Arabidopsis thaliana: one gene and its partner. The protein of the gene in region 2 interacts with the protein of the main gene of each other region in a pairwise test. Each region holds a gene or a part of one and is shown on either strand. Other genes may lie near its edges.

Region 1 (8,028 bases), on a different chromosome or scaffold from region 2:
TTGCCTTTTCATAGTTCCAAGCCTTGCGAGCTATGGTACAAGCAAACCCACAAATTCTACAGGTAAAATTTTTAACCTCTTATTCTTTATTTGGTAGGTTATATGATATTGATTTCCCACTTATACTGTTTCGTTTTGCAGCCTATGCTTCAGGAGCTCGGTAAACAAAACCCCCAGCTTGTGCGACTAATTCAAGAGCACCAGGCTGACTTCCTACGCTTGATAAACGAACCTGTCGAGGGAGAAGAGTGGGTTTAATATCATGATTCTCCTTTACGTTTTCATTTTATTCTTTTTTCTCAATAAAGCATGTAATCTGACATTTCATTCGATGCCACCAGGAATGTTATGGAACAGTTGGAAGCAGCAATGCCACAAGCTGTTACCGTTACACCTGAAGAGCGTGAAGCCATTGAACGGGTTTGTTCCTATGATCTTTACATTTGTACCTTTACTAGATGCTCTGGTTCCTCAAAATATATGGCTTGTATTGAAATTTGATTTTGCTGTTGTTTGTTTTGGTTTAGCTTGAAGGGATGGGGTTTGATCGTGCGATGGTCTTGGAAGTGTTCTTTGCGTGTAACAAGAATGAAGAACTTGCAGCTAATTACCTTCTAGATCACATGCATGAGTTTGAAGATCAATAAACAGAGCAAATCCATTCCTCCCTCTAAACTCAGACCATCTTTCTGTTTCTTTTTCTTCTTCTTTTTAATATGATAATCTCTTCTCCAATGCCATTTGACAGTTTCATGTTTATGTTCATGGGAGTTGATGTGTTTATGTTACTATTAAAACTATCATAGTTTATCTGGTTTGAAGATGCTCCTCTTTTATCATATTATTAGCCTTTGAATCCTTCCTCTCTTTAGGTCTCAGATGCACCAATATTAGCTAAGATTAAAAGTGGATATTTTGGTTCTATATGACTCATCTCGAGTTAGGAATGGTATGTCGAATCTGGTTTAACAGATCTGGCCTAAAACGAAACCGCTATTCAGATCCAATTATTGGCGCTTACATTGTTTTCTCATAGCCTCAAGCTATGCAATATCAATTATTGCACATTTGAATTAACACAAACCCATCAATTAATATATCAACAAAAACCCATCATCAATTAACACATCAACACAAACATAAAGACATATAAGTTGCTCATGAAGAACTTATAATGGTGGAACCAGTGAGCCTTTGAGATCTGTCATAATCGTCTCTGAAATTGTCTCAAATCGAGAGAGAAATGAGAAATCTTAAAATTTTACCCTAAATAATTAAACCCTAGCTTTTAATTATTACTGCACAAATTATGTCTAAATAATTTTGCCCATTTACTAGCGAGCTTATATGGTTTGTAATCCATTTTAAACACTTTAATTTTGGGCTTCACCAAAACCCAACCATTATTATTTGGACGTGGACATCCCATGGTCAGAAAACTCATTCGATAACCCTACATTTGATGATCAAAGTGGCACGGAAGCTCGTTCGATCTACAAGTTTTGTGGTGAGGAGACTTCTCAGTTTTTCTTCTAGTGTGGTTGTACTTCAGGTAAATTCTTTTCAATACTTAGTGGAATTTTTCGCTAACTGTTTTGTGTAAATAAGGACGAGGCCTCCATAGCGTTCAGTGCTTTAACAATGCCGTATCCACTCTGCTAATCTTGGATTTCAAGAGGTATGACAGTTTGTGTTGTGATAGGAGCCTTCATTAAATTAAATAATTTCAACAATTTATTTATTTTTAGAACCAAAAGATTTTTCAAAAATTTTGATTATCAAAAAAAAATCCAACAGATTTTCTGTTAAAATGAAAATATATATTAGATTGTTTTTAAAAAAAATCATCTGCCGGAATTTGAATCTGGACATGCTTATTTTCAAAAAAACATTTTAGCTAATGTGCTAGTGCATATGTTTTTGCTAAGGTATGAATTTAAATTGGATATATAGATCAATTTATTTATTTTAAAACCAAAAAAAATTTAAAAAGAAACTTAGCGGGATATAAAATAAATATATATTAAATTTAAAAAAAAAAGATTTTCCGCTACGGGAATTTGAACCTGAAAATGCTGATTTTTAAAGAAAATTTAGCTAATGTGCTACATGAGATGTTTTTTTTGCTAAAGTATGAGTTTAAATTGGATATATACATCATTCAATTTATTTTTCTAATCTAGAATTTGCTTTCCTAGGACAAATATAGGTACTGAATTATTAAAGAACATATTTTTTGGTAAGATATAAGTGAGTTTTTATATAATTTTGATGATTTTAGGTAAGTTGATGTGATTTACTGTAAAGTCTTTTCAAATTCTATCTAAAACTATGAGATTTAGATTTCTGTATTTTTAACTAAAGAAGTCTTTTCAAATCCTTTCAAATCCTTCAAAATTAATAAGAATCAAATCCACTAACTATTTTCAGTAACAGTAAAAAGGTTGATTTTTAAATTTTTAATTTAATAACACTCAATTTCATTTAAAAATTTAAAATCCATAATTAAATAACATAAAATTTATAAATTTTACATAAATTATTAGATTGAATACACCGCTCTAAATATACACAATGTAAAAAGTCTGTTTAAGATCAATTATAGATTTAACTTAAATCTAAAGGCCCATAATACCGTCCTGTACATCATATAGTTATCTCAAGTTGTAATACTGTAATACCCGTTGGGCCCAGTGGCCCATTTATCAGATTTCAAATAACAGATCTCAACACTAGCATGGCTACACACGTGTCAGATTCAATGCATCAGTCATATCTTCAGCATCCAACACTTGTCAACCTTCCATTGGATCTCTTAACTCTACGCCTCGAAAACAGTTTTTATTTATTTATCATTCCATTTCTCATTGTATCTTCATCAGTCTCTTCTTATTCCATTTTTTCAAACCACTTGCAAAATTCGAATCAGATCTTCTCTTCAATCGAAAAAAAAGAAAGGTAAATCTCTCTCTCTCTAATCATCGTTCGTTTCGTAGTTTCTTCTTCTACGTGTAGATCTGATCTTTGATTGTATGTTTCTGGAGATCTCGATCTCATCGATTCTCTGTTCTTATCACTGATTCAGTGTGTTTGATATCTAAATCCGATTTGTGTGTAGGATGTTAAAATTTAGGTTTCGGTTTTGTTTCTGCTTTTGAACGATTTTGCTCTAGATTCGTTATCCGTGAAGAACATAGACGAGTATGTAGATCTTACTTCGGATTCGCGTTGAAGAATTTTCTCTAGATTCGTCACCTATGAAGAAGATTCATTGTGTTCTTAATCTAGATGATTAGGTTATTGTTTCGACTCATTTGTTTATGCCTATTTTCTCTATGTTCTTAATCGGTGAAGAAATGTATCAATGTGTGTATGTTTTGGGTTCTGATTTTGTAGGATTTGCTCTAGATTGTTGAATCGAAGATGTCGACAAGGGAAGAGAATGTTTACATGGCGAAATTAGCCGAACAAGCTGAACGTTACGAAGAAATGGTTGAATTCATGGAGAAAGTTGCGAAAACTGTTGATGTTGAGGAACTTTCAGTTGAAGAGAGGAATCTTCTCTCTGTTGCTTACAAGAACGTGATTGGAGCGAGAAGAGCTTCGTGGAGAATCATTTCTTCGATTGAGCAGAAAGAAGAGAGCAAAGGGAACGAAGATCATGTTGCTATTATCAAGGATTACAGAGGAAAGATTGAATCCGAGCTTAGCAAAATCTGTGATGGGATTTTGAATGTTCTTGAAGCTCATCTTATTCCTTCTGCTTCACCAGCTGAATCTAAAGTGTTTTATCTTAAGATGAAGGGTGATTATCATAGGTATCTTGCTGAGTTTAAGGCTGGTGCTGAAAGGAAAGAAGCTGCTGAAAGCACTTTGGTTGCTTACAAGTCTGCTTCCGTAAGTCATTCTTTACAACGTTTTTGAATGTTGTTTTCTTTTGTGGGTATGATTGATTTTGTTGTTGTGATAATGCAGGACATTGCCACTGCTGAGTTAGCTCCTACTCACCCGATAAGGCTTGGTCTTGCACTCAACTTCTCTGTGTTTTACTATGAAATCCTCAACTCGCCTGATCGTGCTTGCAGCCTCGCAAAGCAGGTTTGTGTAGTACACCTGATTTTCACTTTTTGCTTCGTGTGTTATTATTATCTCAGTGAATGAAACAGCTATTTTGGGTTTGTGCAGGCGTTTGATGATGCAATCGCTGAGTTAGATACATTGGGTGAGGAATCATACAAGGACAGTACACTGATTATGCAGCTTCTTAGAGACAATCTCACTCTCTGGACTTCAGATATGACTGTAAGTATTAACAACACAATATACGTTGATCACTAAGTTATGTTGTTGACATGATGGTTTCTTTTTTGGTGAATAGGACGAAGCAGGAGATGAGATTAAGGAGGCATCAAAGCCCGATGGTGCCGAGTAAACCCGAAGAAGAGGAAGAGTCATTTTATAATGGTAGAAAACTTTCATGTGATAATCTGAGTGAGGGATAGCTCAGGATTCTTATAAGAGACACAGTTTTATTGTTGTTTGTTTGTTTTGAAACTACTTGCGATTTATCATTCCTCCTTTAGCTTCCTCAATATTTCCTATTCTCCTTTCTAATGAAATCAAAACTTGGTTATTTCTGATATGGTAGTTGTCTTTATTTTCTATTTTTTTGGTTATTGATTTGATCAACTAAAAAAGTGTGATAACTTTCTCAAATTGATTAATTAATGTACGAAAACACTTGCTGCAAATGGATCACTTCCATGACATTATACTTTGATATAATATATTACAAGAAATAAAAGGTAACTAAAGTAGAGAAAACAAGAAACCATATTTATAACAAAATATTTCATTTCAAACAATGGTAAAAGATCTCAGATAACATAGGAGACAGACAAGTTACTACTAATAAAGGAGAGAACCACACCAAAATCCTAATCTTGTTAATTAACACTTCCAATAAGTTACTGAAACTCAAAATCACTGAATAAGCTAGTGAACAAGTGAAGAGCTACTCTGTGTCAAGTGCAAAGCAGAGGACTCCACGGCACCTGAAAGTCCAAAGGCTGATCTTGTCGCCGACTTTTAAGCTGCTACTTTTGACGACATCATTCCAACCCCAATTCAAAGTGTAATTCAATGTTCCATGTCCAGAGTCCTTCTCCATCGCCCATATCTTGAAACGCAAACCCCACTTTTGAAATCTTTGGTTCACAAGAACCGTTCCCACACCAATATTCTCGTCGTCTTCTTCATCATTGTCTTCGTCTTTCTGCATAGCTCTACACTCCGCAGGAGTCAGGAAATCGTTTCTGATTAGCTTCTGGAAAGGCATTAAGAGACGACTAAGGTTTGAGTTGACATCACTCTTAAACAGAGTCCTCTCAAATATCAGCCTCGGGGTTTCAGCATCAGCGTTCATGTATCTCATCACTTGGAAAATCCACTCAGGCATCTCTGTACACAACCTTGGCAAAGGAGAAACCTTAACTTTCTTGACTTTACCACTCTTCCTCTGCTCCACGGCACGCCTCTTGCGGTTTGTCTTCCCTGTTAGGCATGAAGACGGAGACGAAGATTGGTAATTAGGGTTTGGTACGTCTTTTGTCTCTGTCGAAGGTTCAAGACAAGGAAGGTTCAGGAGCGATGAAGAAGAAGTAGAAGCTCCATTAAGATTATCAAAGAGTTTCTTTTCACTCTCGTCATCATAATCTTCATCGTAGACAATCTTGGATTTACCTTTCTTTAAACGTTGTTCTTCATCACACACCATAGGTTCATCAAAACAAGGGTTTTGTAGGTTGTCTGTCTCAAAATCAGTAGGGATTAGGTTAAGATCGGGAAGCGATGACGAACAAGTAGAAGCCCCATTAGGGTTTTGTTGTGTGTATCTTCTCTTCGCCAAAGACGATTTGATTTTCCTCGGGAAAAGATAGAAGAAACTCATCTTGCACTTGGATTCTTCTCGTTTCTCTGCAAGAAGACGACTACGTTGTTCTTCTTCCTCCGCAACCATAACCGTCACATACGCCAGTAAACTTAAACCCGACGACATATTCTTCCCCGAATCCGTGAGATGATTATCGTGATACATAATACTACTCATCGTGATTGAATCGAAAGACTGGAAAGTTTCTGAGAGCGACGACGTGAGGAACAAGAAACTTGTATATAGAGAGACGAGAAACTGATCGACGATTAGAAAAGAAGTACCTTCTCTTGCCTTATATATACTTTACAATAGGGTTTCAGGTTTCTTTGTTTTCCTATTTCTCCATTGAGTTTAGTTGTTTAATTACTGTCATTAGTAACTAATTATAGCCGTTGTGATCAAGTGTTTCCTTTTTCACAAGTGTGAGAGATAGTGAATTTTTAGGAAGTTTCCTTTCCTTTCAAATTTCAATAGCTTTGCTTCACTTTTTTGTATTTGATGTATTATTATATTTTTTGGGCACTTGCCGACTTTGATATAAATTAAATAAAATGCAGAAAACAGTGGAGTCTCAAAAAAATTCAGATCTTTAGAAAAACAAAACCAATATTGTTGTCGATTGAATCGAAAATAGTTTCGAGTATCCATTTATCATCAAAAAAAAAAAAAAAACAATTCCTTGAATAATTTTTATGTTTTTTGAATTTTATTGGATGTACGTACATAATCATTTCAACAAAATTGCATAAAAATAGTTGATGCAAAACCAAATATGGGGAGAAAATTCAAATAGTTTTCTCAATTTGAGGTAACTACGAAATTGCCCCACATCCTTTAGTAATTACGAATTGGACCTAAAACTATAGATAATTACGATTTTTTCCCTCGAATAATAACGAAATTGCCTCAGTTATTTCGTTATTTGTTAATGCACCCCACATCTCTCGGTAATTACAAAATTTCTGCAAATCTTCCAAAATGAAATTTCTGGTAATTTCTTATTTGGTAAACTACGAATGAACAACAAAGAACAATGAATTGGTAAAATACACATTTTGGAATACTCAATCTCTCATATTATTGCTTATCCACAATCAAATCACACAATTGTAACAATGAACAACAAAGAACAATGAATCAACAAGAACAAATGAAATTAGAATCTTCGCTCACATCCCTCAGATTATAATCGCACCCTTCACAGTCTCATAGCGAATGAATCAACATGCCTTGCTCTGTAACCGCTCCTCATATTTATAGATGCCTCTGATACTTGCTTATTTCACAAGCTTCCCTCTGTTTCCTCACGTGCCTTGCACACACACTCTTATCATGCATTCGCAGTCATTAAACAGTGTCATAGTTATTCTTTATGGTTACAAGTGTGGGGTTGGTGACTGATGAAGACAACTGATCTTATTCATCTACTTCTTGGAGCTGGAGTTGGAGAAATTCGAGAAGAATGAACAAATTACGACAAGGTACATTGAGAAAATCTCCGGTGAAGCATAAAAGCACAACTTATACGTAATATTTCTATATTTGCTTTTGGAGACAGAACATGTGTCAGTAATCGTTGGTTTAGACTTCTAGGTCTGGTTTGGGGTTTGGTACAGATGGTTTTATGGCTGCAAATGTCTTATGTTGTTGAACGCCCACAAGATGCTCGATGAAATGCCGAAGAGAGTGGCTTGTTTGTAAAATTGCAGTTTTTTGGTGGTATATGGATGAGAAGCAGATGATAGTGAGTAGAGTTTTGTTACTTGGGGGTAGAAAATTCTCTTCGCCATGAGATAGACTATTAGAGTTAAGCGGGTAAAAACCCGGACTCGTTTTGTGAGACAAAAGAACCTGAAAAAGTTCTCACTTTGACTATTCTTGCTTCTATCAAGCCATTGCAATTGTTCTTGGAAAAGTGAAACACACACTCTCGTTGTCTCATCTTGCTGTGAATTATCATTCTTATCTGCTGAGTTCAAGACTGGATTAAGCATGATTCTTGAAGATAGGAGTGTGACTGAGATAATATGCATTCACTGGAAACCATGGTCTACTTTTCAAAGGTAATGTCTCTGTTCTTTCAATTTGAGACA
Region 2 (8,750 bases):
AAAAATGTGAAAAATTTCTTTAATGTTGATGAACAATCACGAGCTGTTCTGACAGAAGTGTCTCTCTTTTTCAATAGTGACAGTACGGTAAAAAATATTGCTCCAAATATTTCAATTATTGTTTATTTGTGAAATTCATTGTTTTATTTCTTAGAATAAAATCAAATCTAGGCCACTATTGCTTCTTTGAAATACGTGCCCATCAGTTGATAAATCATATGGTGTCAACAAAATCAACAAGCAAATAAGTCAAAGATTGTTTTTTTTGTTTGATTCAAACAAAGCGTTTTACTTTCCTTATTGGTGAATTACAAGTTGCATCTTAATTTTTTTTAGGAATCGATTCCATTGCAATGGACATGAAGGAGAAGAAATTGACGGTTATTGGAACCGTGGATCCGGTAAATGTAGTAAGTAAGCTAAGAAAGTATTGGCCGATGACGGATATCGTACTAGTGGGACCTGCGAAAGAGCCGGAAAAGGAGAAGAAGGAGGAGCCGAAGAAGGAAGGTGGTGGCGAGCCGCCAAAGAAAGAAGGAGAAGCTCCAAAAGAAGAAGGGAAAAAGGAAGGAGAAGCACCGAAGAAGGAAGAAGAGAAGAAAGAAGGTGGCGATAAGAAGGAAGGAGAGAAGAAAGATCAACCACAAGCGCAGCCGCAACCAGTTGTGCCGCCACCTGATCATGTGTTGGAACTTGTAAAGGCGTATAAAGCATATAATCCTCACCTAACAACGTATTACTACGCCCAAAGCATCGAAGAAAACCCTAATGCTTGCGTTATATGTTGAAATATTTATAATGTGATATATTTTGGGGAAAAGATGGACCGATCTATATATAGTCATGAGGATGAAGAATAAGAAACAAAGGATATATCTTAGACTTCGGATGGGATCGGATATGTTTTTGTCTCCTCGATAATGCGGGGAAGTTTTATTTCCTTAAATCGATTTCGATGATATGTTTTGTGTATATATCGTCGATAGTACTAGAATTTTATTTTTTCACTTTGAAGGTAACTTTCTGTAAATAATGGTGTTATATATATGCGTTGGTCGTGTAACTTTTTAAAGCTTGATACTTCTTCGGAAGCCAATGGAATGGCGAAATTGCAAAATAGTTTTGCGAACAATAGTTCTGCAATGTTTTTATTCGATTTTGCTATTTCATAACCTGGTCATCTTCTTCTTAAGGTTATGTATATTTCATAACTATGTTATTGTCAAAGTTTTTTCATAATCTGGTCAATATATATATTTTTAAATGTATGTGGGTGCTAGCTTAGGTGAATAAATGTTGTTGGGCGGCTTATTAACATTTCAGCTGTAAACTTGATAATTTATCTTTACTTCTGTTTTGCGCGAAGCGAAAGGGCATGGCCTTCATGATCATCTGATGAGTCACTTTTAGAAATTTTGTAAGAGGAGAAGGTAAAGCGTTTTTAATTGTTCTAATTTTTATTTAGTTTCTTCACAAATGTACCTGTATTTCAGGGGATAATAGCATAAAGTGAAGTTCTAAATTTATTCTAAACAAAAAAAATAAAAAATCTAGAAACCACTTAAGAATAAAAATGCCCGTATCTCGGCCACATACAAACTTCTTTCTTTTTCGACACCAAAAGATTATTGAAAATATATCTTTTTTTTTGTTAAAAGATATATTACTAAAAATAGTCTTCACGTAACCAAGTGCATTGTAAATGTCATAGATCAAGTTGTGGCTCAAACCAAATGCAAATGTCAAAAACATTTTGGTAGGTAGCCACCTAAAAGGAGCATGTGAAAACTTAATTTGGTATTTCATCATTTTCAATTTATGCCGTATTGAATTATTTAGAGTCAAAACAAAATCCAAGACAGAAAAAAGTTCCCTTGAATATTAAAAAGAGGATTCACTATATATATATAAAAAAAAACTTGCCCATGTCATTTTTTCTACCAAACAAAATAAATATATAACTTGATCATGTTTCGTAACCTACTGTTGATGATCATGAATTGGTTGTGACTTGTGACTGATGATGACGACGATAATGTCGATGATTATAATTAGACAGAGATATCTATATATTATCCAGATACATATTATTCTGTGTGAAAAGGATCAAACCGTTGTTTCCAAGTATCAAATTTGATTTTTGTCTTATATATATATATTTTTGTTCGTGTGTGTAGTATCAATATCAGCTAAGAGGCGGCCCAAAGCACGCCTTACCATCAGCACTTAATTACCTAACAAAGTCGTAGTAGCATATAATATATGTAACAAATTTATCAATCTGAGATCTGTAAATTTTATCAAATAATAGCTAATGGTTTACCAAAAGAGGACCAAAAATAAATACTATAACATTCAAGCTGACGGTTTATCATTAACAAAGAAAAAGGGGAAAGAAAGCTGACGATTATTGAATAATTGATGGAGACGTCATCATGTTTGATAGCTGATTATTCTAAGCAAATTTGTCACTTTGTAACAAAATAATAAGTTGAATTTAATCATATTTGGTGCAGCTGAAATGCTGATGAATCTTTCATCACCCACAATATGATAGGCTAAGGCAAATTCCAAGATATAAAACTTAACATGCATTTATTGATTATATCTCTGTATAATCGGATGTTCAATTTAGTACATATAATGATTATTTTAGAAAAAGGATAGGCATGTTGGCATGCTCGTGTGACGTATTGGGCGAACAAGAAAATGCGGTTCTAGAAAAAATCGAATAAATTAGGTTAACAAATCCTCCATTACTCACAAAACATTATCAACCTCCCCAACTAATAAACTCTGGTGATCCTTATCAAAAGACAATGTTTCATTTATTACACACAAAAACATATAAGAAAAGCATATATGCTACACACCAGCACCACTAGGACAATCCATCGATTAAAATCCTAAGCGGAAAAAAGAAACAGAATCAAACACATAAAATCTTAAAAGTTACCATTTGACCCCAGGAAAAAAGCTGGCCGTCAAAAACAACCCTAATGTCGAAATTGAATTATTCCAATCTTACAATGAAAGAAAAAACATTTACTTAATCACTTACTAATTTAAGATTAATTAACACGGAGTGAAACGCGGACGAGTTAATCCAATCTCTCAGACGTTATGCCTTAAGATTTTCATGCTCGGAGAAGAGGTGAGTGTGGTGACATTATCCCTGGAGACGAGAGACCATCCTCGTAAAGTCGTCGGAAACTTAGTCGAAGATTGGTCTGCGTCCATTTCAGCTTTTTAGCACTCTTGTTCTGGATTACCTGATCATTTTCAGATGCTTTCTCGACGATCTTGTTCTTGTTCTTAGACACGAAATCTTGGATCCGTCCAAGCGCCACATGGAGAGTATCATCGTCCATGTTGGCAAAGCAAATCCTAAACCATCCAGGTTCCGTGCAACGGAAGGAAGAGCCAGGAGACACATTGAGCTTAACTCTATCGATGATTATATGCCAAAGCTCGATCTCAGATTCAAACGAGTTACGATCTCTCAGTAGATGTCTCAAATCCATCCACGCAAATAAACCAGCGTTGCTTGTCAAACAAGCAATATCTGCTTTCTTGATCCCCGTGGTAAAAACTTTATGCCTTATCCCCAACCTTCTCGAGCTTTCCATTAGAAAATTATCCACAAACTGATCATCGGACAACATCGAAGCAAGCATGAGTTGTGTCTGAGACGAAACAAGTCCGAAACTTGACATTTTTCTTGCGCAAGACACGACCGAGTCATTGAAAGAATAGACTATCCCGACTCTAAAACCAGGAAGTCCCATATCTTTAGAAAGACTATAGACAATGTGAATCAAGTCAACGTTGACTTCGGAGATGTCCACATCATTGACCACCTCAGCAACGCTCACGAAATCTCCTCCGGCGAAGACTGTGGCGGCGTAGATCTCGTCGACGACTAGGTGAATGTTCTTCCTCGTGACAAACCGGACCAAGTTCGTGAGTGTGTCCTTATCCAACATTGTACCGAGTGGATTTGATGGGTTGGTCAAAATCAGACCTTTGACTTTTTTATTGGACTCTTGGGCTTTTTTATAAGCCCATTCCGCGGCGTCAACGGTTAATTTGAAATTGTCGGAGCTTGAACAAGGAACCGGGATTATCTCGACACCTGTCCGCCACCTCAAGTCTCTATCAAATCTGCGGAAAGGATTAAATCATTAATTATCACACGTATGAGAGCTTGTCGTTCAATTAAAACCGCTATTGAATGGATATATCGTACACGTGTGATAAAGTTTGGCAAAAGAGTCAAAACTTGATACTAATAACTCATTTCGATTTAGAATTTGTTAACCCCAAAAAAGTATGTGAAAGTAACATTAATGAAATCTGTCCTAACCATTATCCATTATCATATACTAGTACTATTTTCTCTTAAAAATGTGATTAATGTTTTTAACAATGCTTACGCGGCATAGTACGGGGAGGGAATGAGGAAAACGTCGCCGGGATCCGCAAGGCAGAACATGATTGTTTCATTGGCTCCGGTGGCTCCTCCGCTCATAACCACCCTCTCCGGATCAAAAGTCACTCTTCCACCTCTAGCTTTTCCCATGAAATGTGCAATTGCCTTCAATTCCAAAATTTATATTAGGGATAAGTTTATAAAATAAGTTACTAATTAAATGCAACACGAATCTTTAACAAAAAAAAAAAAAAAAAAAAAAAAAAAAAAAAAAAAACCACGACTGAATTTGTTTTTCTTATGCAGATCATATCAACTGATTGTTTAGAGGTGTTATTAACTTTCCATGTAAAAATTGTTTTTCTAATATGTCCGTAGCTGATTACAAGATATCTGAATAATGAATGATTTATAGTACCTGTCTAAACTTCTTAAGACCATGGTAGTCTTGGAAATTAGCGATGTCGCTAAACTGATGAATACCTTCAAGGGTGCAAATAGAAGCTTCTGGGTTCTCTTTGACCCAATCTTTGATCAAATCTAAGCAAAGCTGTAAGAAGTTTAGAAAAATGTGTTATTAAGTATTTAACTTGACTTGAAAAGAAGAAAAAAAGGTATTAGCTTGATGTGTATACGTGTTCATATATAATAGCTAATAGATGGAAGTTCATGCACAACGACAACAACATATAACATGATTTATTGGATTATATATAATCTGTACCTGATTCTCTGCAAGACCCATTTGGATGATCCCATGGGGGTTACGGGAAAGATGAAAAGGATCTTTGTCGTAAGCTTTCCATCCATCAAAGTACTCTGAGTTCTCTCCGTGTTGATTGTTAGTCGCTATCTTCGACAAAACTGCACCTTTATTTTTTCCCGGAAGACCCATTTGCTGTGTCAATTCTCACTTCTTTGTAGCTGTTTTTTTTTTTTTTTGGGGGTATCGATATTGATCTTATGACAAGTTTTTGTGGTGTGTACTAATTAACGTATGAGTTATTTGCTTTTATATAGGAGTTGAAACAGAAACCTTGAGGAGACCAAATAAAGTTGATGTGGGGTCCAAAATAAAAGGAGTTAGGATTTGATGAAACAAGTGAAAAGTAACAAGCGAACCAAGGAAAAAATCTCCATCCAAAACAATATTTCAAAACGTACTTTTGTTACGATTGAATTACCATTTGGGAAGGGAATTTCTAATTAAAAAAAAAAAAAAAAAATTAAGATGGTTGTGTTTTGCTAGCATCAATCTCCCTTGTATTAAACATATCGTATCCGAATTTGGTAGATTAAGATGAATAAATTGGTCTTACTCCAATAGTTTCGCATTGATTTCCGTTTCAGTATTAAAATCCATTGGGATTTATTGGTGGAAACGGGAAAATCATGTGTATTTTATTTGAACCCAAGGCTATTTCTAAGCAACTTCTTATGAAAAATGTTGACCTTAAACTACTTAGTCATGCAAAAAAAAAAAGAAGGTTGGGGATGTGGAGAATATTATTTGATTGAATTCAAATAAAAAGGAAGAAAGTTATGAGATAAAATGTATCAGATTATTCAAAAGAATAGACCAATTTGCAACATTGTAATTTGGTTTAATAAAACATTTGGTATGTTGTAGTCTGCACATGTATAAACGTACGTCCTCCACATAATTCCAAAATTTGACTGGCGTTAAGAAATATCTAATCTAGTCATTGATAAACTACTACTGAATATTCATTTGAGTGTTGAGGAATTTGATTTCAAAATTTCCGTCTTACGAAAAATAAATTTTTTGTTTGTATAACCACAACAATTGTTAGTAGATCATATATGAATTGTAATGAAAAATTATATTAGTGACTAGTGAGAGTTAGTTATTTATATCTTGATTTTTTTTTGTAGTTGGTGGGTTTGGACTCTTTGGTCAAGTCAATCACATGCTCTACGTGATTTTACTTGCAGTTCACGCCGGAAACTCTCACGCGTCGACCACGTGACTAGACCTAGTTCATAATTTTTATCGTCTGAATGTCAAAAACTCAAATCCTCCTTTTTATAACCGTTTTCTTTGAAAACAAGGTATTTTCTTAATCTTGTTTCATGTCTTAAGACTAAAGATATTAAAATCTGATTTTGGCTCTACTTATACTAATGTCGTATTACAATAACTAAAGTCTCAAACAATATTCTTTAAGCACGCATTGCTGGAAAAATTAATTACAGGGGGGACATAAGATCTCAATAATATAGACTGAAGATATCAACTTTTGGCTATTTGGAGTCGTTACATCTACACTTTCAAACAAAACCAACGAACCCATTGTTTTTTGGGATCCTACGAATCCCTTGTGTAAACAATAATTAAAGACAGTCCTAAACTAATATTCTCTTATCAAGTTTGGAAACATTGTAGCTTTGTGAATATATTATTTTGTCTAAGAAGAACTTTTTGTTTGTAAATAGTTTTTTTTTTTGGATGTGTTTCTCATGAAATGCAGGTAAGAAACATCTAATGAATTAGAAATAGATTATGAATAAAAGAAAATAATTTGTAAAAGAAACACCGAACAAGGAGTTCGTATTCGTATACTAATTGGCCCGCCAACTACCAACACCGACATATGTGCTTTCGGCAGTTTTGATATCATTCCAAAATTTCAATTATTATTTATCAAATTTATTTTCTTGGTAAAAGTTTAATTAATTTCAATTATTTGAATGTCTTAATTCACTGATTACAAATTATATATGTAATATATACATAACAATTTCGTTCGTGGAGTGTTATTATACTCCTTAAGCGAATCTGTATATTTTAAATAAAATTTTGATTTATGCACACGTACATGTTCAATTGAAACGTTTTCCCTAACTATAGATGCCAATAAATAATAAGTTGATTTTTAAAATGTACAAAACAAAAGGTACCGTTTTGTAAAATTTTGCAACCAAAAAGTACAATCGGCCGTTGAAAATCGTGGAACCAAACACTAATTAAAGAGAAGTGTGAATATAATCTAGTGTTTGCGGATTTATATTATAAAATTTGTGTATCACTAAAATGTCAAAGCATGCTTTGACTGGTCAATAAGTCAAATTAACTAACAAACCATGCGAGGCGTAGGTTTGACTTCTTAACATAAATGCTGACTCAGTTTTTCCATTCCGCAGCTGTCGACTAATTGGACACGCTTCTTCCAATCCCTTTCCACTAATCATCCATCAACACGTGACATGCCTACAGTGCACGACTTCACAGTGATCATGTCAAAGTTTTGTTTTTAAGAGAAGAAGATTCACGACTTCACAGTGATCATAGTCCAGTTACAAATTTGAATGGGCTTATGGCCTGTGGCCCATTTAAGTTTGACCTTAATATCCATCAGAAACCCATACCAATACGGGTCATAAGTGCATTGTCCATATAGTGTACCGCAATGCATGGGAGTACTACTACATTCCACCGACGTGCATATGGGGGGACATGGTCGGTCCATTAATCCCTTGCGCATCTTATTCCTTACGCGAATACTTTTCCCTCTTTTAGTTTTGTATAATACTTTCCATTTTTTTGGTATTAAATTTATCGTGTGACTATCTAAAAAGGTATTTAATTATCTAGTTTAGCTATAACTGCAAACAAAATATCTATTTTCATGAATGATATATTTTTGAAATAAAATATTGTTGTCATGTAACGAAAAAATCAAAAATCAAGCAGAAGACACGTATAACCCACGCTTTCACTCTCACTCGTGGAAAACCCTCACACGTACACAAACCATTATAAAATTTAATCCATTTACATCGACCGACTTCATAAGAACATCGTAATCCCATCCGTTTATATATATATTCCAAGTTAAACTTCATATCATACACACAAACCTAAAACACCGAAACAAAAACAAAGAGATTTAAACAAGAAGAGTTATTATGGCGAGCTTGCTAGATAAAGCCAAGGACTTCGTGGCGGATAAACTCACCGCGATCCCTAAACCGGAGGGTTCAGTTACGGACGTTGACCTCAAAGACGTGAACCGTGACTCAGTTGAGTACTTGGCCAAAGTCTCTGTCACCAATCCTTACAGTCATTCGATTCCGATCTGTGAGATCAGTTTCACTTTCCACAGCGCCGGCAGGTAAAACCTACTAACTCCGTCGTTTGGTTCTTTGTTAGATTTTGTAAACAACAGAGATCTAATTATTTGTAAACAGGGAGATTGGAAAGGGGAAGATACCGGACCCGGGTTCTCTGAAAGCTAAGGACATGACGGCTCTTGATATTCCCGTGGTGGTGCCGTATAGTATACTGTTTAACCTG

Evidence for each region.
Region 1: the proteins of ACS2 (region 2) and GRF3 come close enough for resonance energy transfer, tested with the Arabidopsis thaliana proteins (one study listed by BioGRID).

What each region holds. Positions count from the first base shown.
Region 1 is NC_003076.8:15,406,854-15,414,881, forward strand, and holds GRF3 (general regulatory factor 3), read left to right. Parts: upstream 1-2,830; 5' UTR 2,831-2,958; exon of another isoform or gene 2,959-3,296; intron 3,297-3,396; 5' UTR 3,397-3,423; coding exon 3,424-3,897; intron 3,898-3,975; coding exon 3,976-4,098; intron 4,099-4,185; coding exon 4,186-4,302; coding exon of another isoform or gene 4,303-4,306; intron 4,307-4,378; coding exon 4,379-4,432; 3' UTR 4,433-4,748; downstream 4,749-8,028. Other genes in the region: RAD23D (Rad23 UV excision repair protein family), read left to right, coding at 15-62, 142-248, 342-420, 528-647; AT5G38490 (B3 domain protein (DUF313)), read right to left, coding at 5,015-6,109. UniProt on the Arabidopsis thaliana protein: Is associated with a DNA binding complex that binds to the G box, a well-characterized cis-acting DNA regulatory element found in plant genes. Involved in the regulation of nutrient metabolism. Reciprocal negative transcription regulation of miR396.
Region 2 is NC_003070.9:172,439-181,188, reverse strand, and holds ACS2 (1-amino-cyclopropane-1-carboxylate synthase 2), read right to left. Parts: upstream 5,484-8,750; 5' UTR 5,328-5,483; coding exon 5,157-5,327; intron 5,049-5,156; exon of another isoform or gene 4,983-5,048; coding exon 4,851-4,982; intron 4,598-4,850; coding exon 4,437-4,597; intron 4,165-4,436; coding exon 3,138-4,164; 3' UTR 2,783-3,137; downstream 1-2,782. Other genes in the region: AT1G01490 (Heavy metal transport/detoxification superfamily protein), read left to right, coding at 337-788; LEA14 (Late embryogenesis abundant protein), read left to right, coding at 8,363-8,568, 8,645-8,750. UniProt on the Arabidopsis thaliana protein: 1-aminocyclopropane-1-carboxylate synthase (ACS) enzymes catalyze the conversion of S-adenosyl-L-methionine (SAM) into 1-aminocyclopropane-1-carboxylate (ACC), a direct precursor of ethylene.